3 linked regions of the Neurospora crassa OR74A genome follow. The protein of the gene in region 1 interacts with the protein of each later gene in a pairwise test. Links are inferred from orthologs where the notes say so. Each region holds a gene or a part of one and is shown in the gene's direction. Other genes may lie near its edges.

What was found. The genes of interacting proteins can lie anywhere in the genome.
Region 2: the proteins of NCU03039 (region 1) and NCU02633 interact in a two-hybrid assay, tested with the Schizosaccharomyces pombe proteins (3 studies listed by BioGRID). The link is inferred for Neurospora crassa OR74A from reciprocal best matches to the Schizosaccharomyces pombe genes prp2 and uap2.
Region 3: the proteins of NCU03039 (region 1) and NCU04281 interact in binary tests that used the Schizosaccharomyces pombe proteins (3 or more experiments, as listed by UniProt). The link is inferred for Neurospora crassa OR74A from reciprocal best matches to the Schizosaccharomyces pombe genes prp2 and wat1.

What each region holds. Positions count from the first base shown.
Region 1 is NC_026501.1:8,349,441-8,353,408, forward strand, and holds the start of NCU03039 (splicing factor u2af large subunit), read left to right. Parts: upstream 1-1,156; 5' UTR 1,157-1,293; coding exon 1,294-1,321; intron 1,322-1,379; coding exon 1,380-1,414; intron 1,415-1,481; coding exon 1,482-2,675; intron 2,676-2,727; coding exon 2,728-2,986; intron 2,987-3,043; coding exon 3,044-3,255; intron 3,256-3,315; coding exon 3,316-3,342; 3' UTR 3,343-3,968. Other genes in the region: NCU03040 (N-glycosylase/DNA lyase), read right to left, coding at 1-546, 628-746. UniProt on the Schizosaccharomyces pombe protein: Necessary for the splicing of pre-mRNA. The SF1-U2AF59-U2AF23 complex has a role in the recognition of the branch site (5'-UACUAAC-3'), the pyrimidine tract and the 3'-splice site at the 3'-end of introns.
Region 2 is NC_026501.1:3,000,242-3,004,010, reverse strand, and holds NCU02633 (nuclear mRNA splicing factor-associated protein), read left to right. Parts: upstream 1-1,253; 5' UTR 1,254-1,348; coding exon 1,349-1,645; intron 1,646-1,973; coding exon 1,974-2,975; 3' UTR 2,976-3,267; downstream 3,268-3,769. Other genes in the region: NCU02634 (hypothetical protein), read left to right, coding at 226-775; NCU02632 (sulfate transporter), read right to left, coding at 3,362-3,769. UniProt on the Schizosaccharomyces pombe protein: Has a role in pre-mRNA splicing.
Region 3 is NC_026505.1:5,484,167-5,487,788, reverse strand, and holds NCU04281 (WD-repeat protein pop3), read left to right. Parts: upstream 1-1,265; 5' UTR 1,266-1,570; coding exon 1,571-1,592; intron 1,593-1,711; coding exon 1,712-2,229; intron 2,230-2,303; coding exon 2,304-2,720; 3' UTR 2,721-3,120; downstream 3,121-3,622. Other genes in the region: NCU04280 (aconitate hydratase), read left to right, coding at 3,581-3,622. UniProt on the Schizosaccharomyces pombe protein: component of both TORC1 and TORC2, which regulate multiple cellular processes to control cell growth in response to environmental signals. Nutrient limitation and environmental stress signals cause inactivation of TORC1.

The sequences.
Region 1 (3,968 bases):
CCCGGATTCCTCAACCTCAGCAACCACCTCTCCCCATAAACCTGCGCCACACACCCCGCCGTCTCAGCAATGTACTTGGCCCTATAACCAAAGCCCAGCTCCCTCAGATGGGCCTCGACCCCTTCCCCCGCCAACGCCTCCGGCCCGGGGAAATCATGAAACGCTTCTCCCTCCACGGTGGCCACATAAGGACCGTAGTGCGTACACAGCTTCAGCACCATCTGGCTGATGCGCGAAATGTTGTTGTTGCTGCTGCAGATGAAGGAGATCAGCGTCTCCCATGCGTCCTGGTTAAGGATGCGGATCCCCGTGAAAGCGGGCGCACGCCGGGCGAAGTTGGCATCTGAAAGAGACCATTGGGCGTAAAGGGTAGTGAGAGAGTGAGAGAGGGCAAAGTAGTTGTGGAGGAGGACGGACGTGTCGTCTTCGAAGTCCTGGGGGTGTTCATTTTTGGGAGTTGCTGTACTGGTAGGCCATGTCACTTTGTAGTGAAGATGGGTGGGATCTTGTTTTAGGGAGATGAGACGGCCTTTGAGGACGCAGTGCCTGGAAAACTGTTAGGACTTGATACTTTGAACAGAGAAGAAATAAAAAGAAAAAAAGTAAGATAGTGGTGTGCATTCGGACCATTGTTCATTTATCTTGCGCCATCTAAAGGACTGGCCGCATCGGAGTGTGGTTTCGATGCAGAGCTCTGTGAGACTGATAGGCAGTTTGCGCCATTCTGTCACTTTCTGGGATGCCATATCGTATTTATTAAAAACTCTTAGACTTTGCAGATAAGACAAAAAGGATATAAGGGTCTTCTATAGAGGCTTGATGTGAAATTCTTTGTCTCCATCCCTTATTATGCAGGTAGATTGATTATCACTTTTGTTTCTCATGGACCCAAAATCCCAACCCGGATTTGATGGGGGGCAATGCACTGGGGCTGCAAATGCCCTGCGGTGGTGGTTACCTATCTGCTGGAACTAAGGTACCTCTACAGGGGCAATTCCTCTTCAGTTGTTGCCACGCCATTGCAGGGCGTCAAACTTCCCGGTGTGGATGGGTCAGTGGAACCGAATCGCACGGAAACATAGCGCGCTAAGCCGAAAGAGGATCAAGCGCCCTCTGCAGTAACAACGGCTACTGGAAAAGTTGCAGCCTCGCGATCGACGAGACTCGCAATTGGAAGCTAGGTCAAGCAAAGCCACTTTCCTTTTCATCAAACACCCTCAGAACATTTTCCTGCTTCTTTGGTGCAACCATCTCGTATCACCTCTTTTATACTTAACGAGATTTGTGTTGACCATGAACGGGGACACCTATTCCTCCAGAGGTATGTTGGCACTGACCGTGGCTATCCGCTAGAACTCAACTTAACCGTGGCGAAACAGACAGCGGCCGACACGGTTCGTCTCGCGACTATCCGGTAAGTGTGCCTCGTATACAAACCTAACAGCGGTCTTTTCTGTGGGCCTAAGCTAACCTATTATCAGTCCTCGAGACGCGACCGCGATGACAGACGTGACCGTGGAGATCGCAGTGACCGAGGCAGTGGACGCAGACGCTCTCGCTCTCCCGCCGACTACCGGAGCAGCCGACCCCGTCGCGAAGACGGCGATTTTGACGCTTATTCATCGAGCCGCAGCCACCGCGACCGCGAGCGAGAAGATCGATACTCTGGCCGCGACCGTCGTGGACCCGATCGTGGTGATAGGGAGTGGGATCGTGACAGGGGCGCCGACCGTGGAGCCGACCGTGGAGCCGACCGTGGTGCGGATCGTGGCGCTGACCGCGGGGCCGAGCGTGGAGGTCGCAGCCGGAGGGACGATGACGAAGGCGGCCGTCGCCGGGACAGAGATCGTGACGTGATGGGAGATGATCGCCGCGGTGGAGGCAGAAGGGACCGAGAGGCGGACAGGGAGCGCAGGAGGAGTGTCTCGCCGCCCCCCAAAAAGAGGGAACCGACACCCGACTTGACCGATGTCGTTCCTGTTATAGAGCGCAAGAGGCGCATGACACAGTGGGATATCAAGCCTCCCGGATATGGCAACGTCACCGCGGAGCAGGCCAAGCTCTCGGGTATGTTCCCATTACCTGGCGCCCCGCGACAACAGGCCATGGACCCGACCAAGCTTCAGGCTTTCATGACCCAGCCAGGTGGAGCTGTCAACAGTGCTGCCCTTAAGCCTACGAACTCCCGCCAGAGCAAACGACTTATTGTCTCGAATATCCCACCGTCAGCCACCGACGAGAGCCTGTTGGGCTTTTTCAACCTTCAGCTCAATGGCCTAAATGTAATCGACAGCGCCGATCCTTGCGTCCAGTGCCAAATATCTCCCGATCACAGCTTCGCCATGCTTGAGTTTAGGAACAGCCCGGATGCTACAGTCGCTCTGGCCCTTGACGGTATCACCATGGAGGCCGAGGATGCCAATGGTGCTGCTGGTGCCGGTGGGCTCAAGATCCGTAGGCCGAAGGACTACATCGTACCCGCAATTGTCGAGGACCCCAACTACGACCCTGATTCAGAGGTGCCTTCCAGCATTGTCATCGACAGCCCTAACAAGATCAGCGTCACCAACATCCCTGCATATTTGAGCGAAGAGCAAATCATGGAGCTCCTGGTTGCCTTTGGCAAGCTCAAGTCCTTTGTGTTGGTTAAGGATAAGCATACGGAGGAGTCAAGGGTGAGCCTAATGGTCCTTTCTACCAACGAGCGCACATGCTAACATGTCCTAGGGTATCGCATTCTGCGAGTATCACGATTCTTCGGTCACATCTGTTGCTATTGACGGCCTCAACAACATGATGCTGGGCGATAGGGCGCTGAAGGTTCAAAAGGCCAGCTATGGCATTCAACAGGTAGCTGGAGAACTGAGTGTGAACGCCATGTCCATGCTTGCTGGTACCACTTCCTTGGATGGCGACGTCAGCAGGGTCGTGCAGCTCCTGAACATGGTTACAGCGGATGAGCTGATGGACAACGACGATTACGAAGGTTTGTTCAGCGTTTCTGTCACTACACATGTTCAAGATGCTAACGTGTGCTTTCAAGAAATTCGCGACGACGTCCAGGAAGAATGCGAGAAGTTCGGAACTATTGTTTCCCTAAAGATTCCCAGACCCACTGGCGGAAGCAGGCAGTCTGCTGGTGTTGGCAAGATTTTCATCAAATACGAGAATTCCGACCAAGCAACAAAGGCCCTCAAAGCTTTGGCGGGCAGGAAGTTTGCTGACCGCACGGTGGTTGCGACATACTTCCCTGAGGTTAGTTTCATCAGCTTTGCTCTGATTTGCTTCGCTCGTTTATACTGATAAATCCTACAGGAGAACTTTGATGTCAACGCCTGGTAAAAGACGATAGGCAGTAGGAGAAGGGATATGTTTGACTGTACTGAAAGGAAGAACAGTAGTCGTGCATGGTATAGCGTGATCTGTTGATTGACAACGAGGAAACAATCAGAACGTCATTAGTATCAAGGTTCGGTCATTTCCTCGAAGTTATCGTTGGGATCTCAGCGGCGTGTACAGAAGTTAATGGGATTTCAGCCGCGGTACAGTCAGGGCGCTCAAAAACAGAGGATACAACATCAATACACTCAGAAGTGTATTTTGATTACATGCCGAAGGTTTACAAATACATCATCGATCGGCACAAGGGAAGTTGCATTGGGATCACTTGTTTATCATTATCTTAGTCTAAATGTCCGGGGTCGCCAACCAACGCCCGCGACAATGAACTCAGTTTGCATGCCATGGCGACCGCACAGTCTCGAGCTTAAAAATTGGTACCTAGGTCTGAAGGAACGTTAGCCTGAGCACGACTCGAATTATGCAATAACAAGACGAGTGCGAAAGCTAAAGTTTCAGAAGTCCGTTTAATTCATCAAGTCCCAAAAAGGAACTTTAACATAAGAGGTACCAGAATAAAGTATAAAGTGTGTATCATCAGGATAAGGAGGCTCGGAAAAAAGGTAGAG
Region 2 (3,769 bases), about 5.3 Mb from region 1:
CACATGAGTTTTGGGAGTTTGGGTTGCTTTGGCGCGCACATCATTTGATCTACTTCAACCAAACATGAGCAAGCTATGGCGCAGAGGGCAACAAGAACGGTGCAACTGTATTGTTACTTGCTAGATGGAGGCACTAAAATTTGACATGCACATGGCGTCCCTCTGCTTTCCGCAAAATTGCGTCTCCGATGCCATTACATGTGCTAATATAGTTCTCGTTGACAGGGCAAATGCTACGAATGCCGAGGCGGATGCGGCTGCCGTTGTAAGGAACTTCCTCGAGTCCCTGAAAGGCACCCAAGGGCGTGCCGGAGGCCAAGCCCAAGCCCAAGGCAAATCCTACCCTTTACTCAACGATCTTCTTGAATCCTCAGTTACGATTCCGATGCTTGATTCCGCCACCGACGAATATGTCGACAACCTTTTGAACTATCTACCCCCAACCGTCATTGTCATGTCTCAGCAAGGTGCCAGCGGTACTGATGCCATCGAGGTTGAGCCTAGTGCCGCGTCTGTTGAGGCCGCTCGGCAGGCTATGAGCCAGGATCAGAAGCGCGCGCTTCTGAAGAAGGTTCTCCGGAGCCCTCAGTTTACCCAGAGCCTTGCCAGTCTGACAATCGCTCTTCGGGATGGAGGACTCCCCAACATTTCTGCTGCGTTGGGAATCCAAGTGGAAAATGGTGGTATGGTCAGGGGCGGTATGGTGCCTCTAGGTGGCGGAGATGCTGTCGAGGCCTTTGTGGAAGGAGTGAAAAAGACAGTCCAGAAGAAGTAAAGGACTTCAGATCTTGATAGAGCCTTCGAGATGAGGACACGACATACAGGAGATTCGATTGATATTGAGGATCAATAGGCCCTGAAAAGCTGTAGGAAGGCTTGCGTCCGAAGCTTGATCAAAAATGGAGGTCTGTACCACCGATTTTGACCGCACTAACAAGCACTAGTAATGCCCAAACCTGGAGGGTTGAAAGTCAATCGGACGTAAAGAAAAAGTCTCCCGAAGTATTCACGCCGGTTTATCCTCCTATACTTCTTCCCGTGCTATTGCAAATAATAAGGGCGTGCTTGTTGACGTATAGTGGCCAAGTCATAGTGGCCCTAGCGACTGTCACGGAGTCCCAAAGCCGCGTGAAGTAACGTACCCACGACTACCATGTAAAAGGGCCCCACAGCAGGTTCCCCGTCACCAAGGGATGGAACCTCCAACGGGTGTTCGAAGACAGGGCTGCATTTTCCGCCTTCAACGTCATCTGGAATTACCCAATTCGCGCCTTCAACAACCGAACGCAGCCATTAGAGCTCTAAACAACACACAGGCTTCCATCTGGCGCATCCTCAAGCAAGCAAAATGGAACAACAAGAAGGACAACAAGCCGAGTACTGGACATTTCCGACCGACCCCGGAGAGTTTGACAAAGACGAGCGCATCTCCTTCTCTAAGCTCGACAACAAATACATCGCGGTCCAAGACGATGGCACCGAATACGAGTTCGACGAGGGTCTCAAGCGCTGGCTTCCCATCATCGACGAAGCCTTAATCGAAGAACACCAGAGGGCATACATAACATCACTCGGAGACGACGATACAGAGACAGGCCAATTGGGCAAAGGACAAGGCAAGAAGAGAAAGAACGACGACCGAGAGGTAAGCTGCGCTCGAATGCGCACCTGTCAACGTTCGCTACTGCCACCATCTTCAACACTCACTCATCCTTCTTTGAAAATATTGATCCAATCATTCCCTTTTCGTCCCATTTTGAAACTTTCGAAACAACCGTGAAAGGGAGAGAGCGAGAGAGAGGAAGGGACATCGCTGTCCCCTAGGAGTACATGAACATGAATGATTCATATGTGTGGTGTTCCTTGTGATGTGGGTGTGAGGACGGACAGGACGTGAGAAGAAAAAAAACAATCCCGGGGAAGACACTAACCAGACGTTTTCTTTCTTTCCCTCGTTGCGCGCACGCCTACAGGACTCCGCTAGCAGTAACCACAACATGAACGCCCGTCCATCGAAGAACCGGAAGCGTGAGAAAGCGCCACGGGAGCCCAAGCAGAACACAGCCGTCTACGTGACTGGTCTTCCGCTCGATGCGACGGCTGACGAGGTCGCCGAGCTCTTCTCGCGTAAATGCGGCGTCATTGCCGAGGAGATCGACAGCGGCCGCCCGCGCATCAAGATGTACACGGACGCCAACGGAAACTTCAAAGGGGACGCCTTGATCGTCTTCTTCAAGCCGCAGTCGGTCGAGATGGCCATTATGCTCCTGGATGACACCGACTTCCGCTTTGAGCCTGCTCCGGATGGCAGCAGAATGCGCGTCCAGGCGGCGGATATGAGCTACAAAAAGACCAAATACGACGCAGCAGCAGGCGCGGAGAACGGCGGTGGTGACAAGGCAGGCAATGGTGGCGCAGAGGGAGAAGGCTCGTCCTCTTCGACCCCCTACAACAACATCACCAACCCCAACCCCGTTTCCAGCGACGGTGGCGGTAACGGTCATAACCAACGCAGCCAACAAGACAAAGCCAAAATCATCAAAAAGACCCAAAAGCTCTCCGCCAAGCTCGCCGACTGGGACGACGACGAGCCCTCCCCTTCTGCCCGCCTTCTGGGGCCCGCGATCAAGGAAGCAAAGGGAGGCAAGTGGGACAAGGTCGTGATCCTGCGACACATGTTCACGCTGGAGGAGCTCAACGAGGACCCGGCTGCTCTGCTGGAGATCAAGGACGACATCCGGGAGGAATGTGCCAAGCTGGGGCCCGTGACTAACGTGGTGCTGTTTGATGAGGAAGAGGAAGGGATTGTGAGCGTCAAGTTCGCGACAGTGGAGGCGGCAGAGGCGTGCGTGCATTTGATGCATGGACGGGCATTTGATGGAAGGATTGTTGAGGCTTTCTTTGCTACTGGCAAGGAGCGGTTCAGGAAGAGCAAGAATAAGGATGCGGGTGAGGAGGACGGTGGTGATGATTGAATGAAATGATCAGCGCACGACTGGATTAGGGGATCTGAATTGGGTGTGACTAGAAACTTCTGGTTTATTGATGCTCTGTGCTACGAAAGGAAAGTCTTTTCTTCTTTTTTTCCTTCGCTTGCATCTGGATTCGTTCGCTCACTACGCGACATCATTACCGTTGATCACAGTTTCCAGTTGAGAGCTACACATGTGGCATTGTCGTGGGCAATATGAGAGACTGGTTTTCTAGTGCATATACAACATATGTAAACTAATTCGAGCTATCTTTATAACCAGCTTTGACATAACTGATATTCGCAGACTTATGTGATGACCTATGTTACATATTACACAGTTGCTTGTTTGTTCCCATGCCCATGTGCCCCCTGCATCAAAAGCATTACTCAACCAGCCATAGTCAGCGTATAACTCGTGAAGACACTCATCCGTTCGCTCGTCAATTTCAACCCTATCCTCAACAGCTCCATCGCCACATCCGGTTGCTCCTTTTGCAGCTTCTCCCATCCTTCCCGGTCCATCATCCACAGCACACAGTCGCGCTCGACCACACACGTCGCCGTTCTCGTCGTCTCCGAGAAGAACGGCAATTCTCCGCACGTCGTTCCGGCCACGATGCTTTCACAAAGCCGTCCCTGTGGCAGATCGTATTCGGCTCTGAGCATACCTTGCTCGAGCAGATAAAATCCTTCTGCCTGCTCCCCGCGCCGGAAGATGACAGTTCCCGCAGGATATTGGAGTCTTTTGAAGTAACCCACGGCACGAAACCAGAAATCCTCGTTTTTGTTGCTGAC
Region 3 (3,622 bases), on another chromosome or scaffold:
CAGCTTGGATTCATCCCAAGTTCGGACATGGGACGAAACCGACAGGTAGCACAGCCATGGCGGGCGACATGACGCAGGTCGCTGAGAGGAGTTGATCGGGCAAATAAAAGTCCAGTGCGGGAATGGTGCCCTGTGGAAGTTGGTTGTTCATGCTGATAACCGGAAGAATCCGAAAGCTTTGGCGGAATCGGGTACCCGTACCACACTCGGGCACCGAGAAAGGCTCCAACAGGTGGACGTCCGCTGCGAAGACGGGTTCTGAGACGCAAACAGCCGATCATGGAGTTTGAGATTGGTGGTGACTTGTGTAGAGTGTTCGTCAGGCCGGGGCTCGGTTGCGCAGGGAAAAGGCAAAAAAGGAACCTAGACAGGTCAGCCTCCACTCGTGCTCTCAGGTCTCATCGATGGCAATCAACCCACTCACTTACAAGAAGACTGTCCACGGACTAAGTAGGACTGTAAGGTGTCGGTGGTACAGAAGCAGGGCCCACTCGCGCTTAAAGTTGCAGGTCCCAGCAGATGTTGACCAACAGAAAGTGAATACTAACTGCCTCTAGTAGGTAGGTCACTGCACGGATATCGCCGGACGTACAGGGCACTCTATCACAGGCCAACCTGGGAGGCGGGGGACGGGAAACGGGAAGCAAGGGAAACAACACATCTGGTACTCGGATTTGCCGTAGACCTCACCAATGAGTGCGAGGTTGGGGGTGTCAAAGTAGCACATCCAAGACGGATATGGCATGGCTAATGACGGCATCAGATGGAATGAAGCGGGTGTCCTGGTACATGGTGTTTCGCGGCATCACAAGAGAGTCCGAGTGTGTGCGTGCTGGACGACGAGGGGAACAGAGGCCCTAAGAAGGAGGAGAATATGCTGACATTGAGATGGTGCTATCACTGGGTCATATAACAGGCGAGGAGGAAAATGGAAGTGGGTTATACGTGGATTCCAGATCTCGAGCAAAGGGAAGATGTTGATGTACATAAGTAGTAAATATTCATGTCTTGGTGAAGAAGTTAGTTGGTATTGAAGTTGTGCTTGATGGAAGGAAAGTTGAAGTTGGGAAACGGAATCGCTTGGGCTGTTGTTGCTGGTTGGTCGAGCATGTGTTAGTGAGTGCCGGTCCCGGCAGGCAGTTGCATCCACATCCAGTTCAAACCCACTTGACTCCGGCGGGCCCCACCGTTTGTCCCCTCCACTGTGGGGCAACCTTAAGTCCACTCCACTTCATAGGTCCCGTCCGTAGGTCTCTTCGTTGTGTTGCCTGCCCCGCCGACCTGTCTTGTCCATCCATGCCTGCAGCGCTGCTATCCGCTGCTAGGTATCAATCGGTGCGGTCCAGTGCCGTCCCGCGATCATCAGGGCCTCAGCTCCCGGCGTTGTTGACATCAGTTTCAATTCGGGCCATTTCGATATAACTTGTTCTACCGTGATCCACGTCTCTTCTTCCCATATCGACGCGTTCGTTGTCTGTCACCGACTGCCCAAGTACCGGTAGACCTGAAGAGTGTCTGTGGACTATGGAATCATAGCCTCTGTATCCCCGTCGCAGTCGCTACCTCTACCATGTCGGTTATCCTTTGCACAGGTATGGCTTGTCTTGTCCCGGTCTACCTTGCCGACGCAGTAATGCCCCATCCCCTTGATCCAGTTCCTCCCTTGTGCCGAATTGGAACAGCTGCTGACTCTTCGCTTTGCCCTTTACAGCTGGTTACGACCACACCATCAGGTTCTGGGAGGCGCTCTCCGGAATCTGCTCGCGCACCATCCAACACCCCGAGTCTCAAGTGAACCGTCTTTGCATATCCCCTGACAAGCGATACCTCGCCGCTGCCGGCCACCGCGATGTCAAACTCTTTGACATTCGTTCCACAAACCCGCAGGCCCTCATGACCTTCCAGGGCCACACCGGCAATGTGACCGGCGTGGCCTTCCACTGCGAGGGCAAGTGGATGGTAACAAGTTCGGAGGACGGAACGGTCAAGATTTGGGAAACCCGCACCGGAACCATCCAGCGAAGCTACAACCACGGCTCTCCGGCAAACGACGTTGTCATCCACCCTAATCAGGGAGAGATCATCAGCTGCGACCGCGCCGGAAGCATCCGACTGTGGGATCTGGCCGAGAACACTTGCTCGCACCAGCTAATCCCCGAGGAGGATGTTTCAGTGACAAGTGTCACGGTTGCCAGTGACGGTACACTTCTTTGTGCGGCCAACACTGCTGTAAGTTTTCTCTCCACCGAGTCATTCCTTGCTGTATCTTCCCGATATACTGACACCTCCTTTCTGTCTGCCAGGGCAATGTATTCGTTTGGCAACTCATCCAGGCCTATGACCGCACCCAGCTGATTCCCCTCACCCACTTTTCCGCACACAAGGAAAGCATCACGCGCATCCTACTCTCGCCCGATGTCAAGAAGCTCGCAACGTGTAGCGCCGACCATACGGCCAGGATCTGGGAAGTCAGGGAAATGGAACCTGCCACGGCCGATTCGGAACCGCAGGCGTTCCCCCTCGAGGCCACTCTCAAGGAGCACCAGCGTTGGGTATGGGACTGTGCCTTCAGCGCTGACAGTGCCTACTTGGTAACTGCCTGCAGTGATCATTATGCGCGGCTGTGGGAATTACACACGCAGCTTGTTATCAGACAGTACAACGGCCATCACCGCGGTATTGTATGCGTCGCTCTCAACGATTATTCCGAAGCTCGCTAGTGGGAACTTTTGGATGAAGATGAGGAGACGGCGACAATTTGCAACACGGCTGAAGTGTAGGGCGGCTGCGGAAAGATGTCAATTTTTACGTCTCTATGATGGGCTGTCGATGTAAGAGGAAACGAAGCTGCAAAGTGCAGTGTCATGGCAGGGGCATTTCATATGTGCTATTTTCCCCGGATATCCTTTTTGAGAGCGACTGGCGGGTTGTTTAGTAGAATCGGCTATGGCAATGGCGTTTTATGGTTATGCAAGTAATGTTTTTAGAGTGGAAAATCACACAACGACATGAATTCCCAAGTACGCCCGCCACGCCGTTTCATAACACTTGATACCTGGTAGCAAAAAGTATTGCTATATAACAGTAGACCACATTTCCGTCGGATATAAGAACAATTCAAGATGAAAGCTCGGCCGAAGTCCGTGACTGAGAGAATCGATTAGGAACATACGAGTCATGATTGGCTTGAATAGTCGAAAAGTGGATCAGCTGTGTGTTACGCCCCGGCTTGGCAGATTCAAAGTCAACACTGGTTCAAGGGTACTGCCGGCCTGGAGGGTTTTACTAGTGATCTGGAACTTTTGAGGACTTGCCTGGGCATCTCAGAATTCAGAATTGAAATCAAAGACAAAGCATTCACTTAAAATAGCTGGATGTTATTGGACAAAAAGACAGTTAGCGTACTTCCAGTGTATGTAGTGTACCGCAATCCCCGGATTTGCTGCTTGGGTGGCGGCGGCACTCACAAGTGGAATGGCTCCGTAATTCGGACCAAAGTGAAGATAGTGTAACCGGCAACTTTTCTCTCCTCTTTTCTTTCTCCAAACAACCAAGTTCCCCTTCTGTACAGTCTGTCACCATGAGGTCAATTGATCTCGCCAGTCGCTCAGGCGCTGCCCTG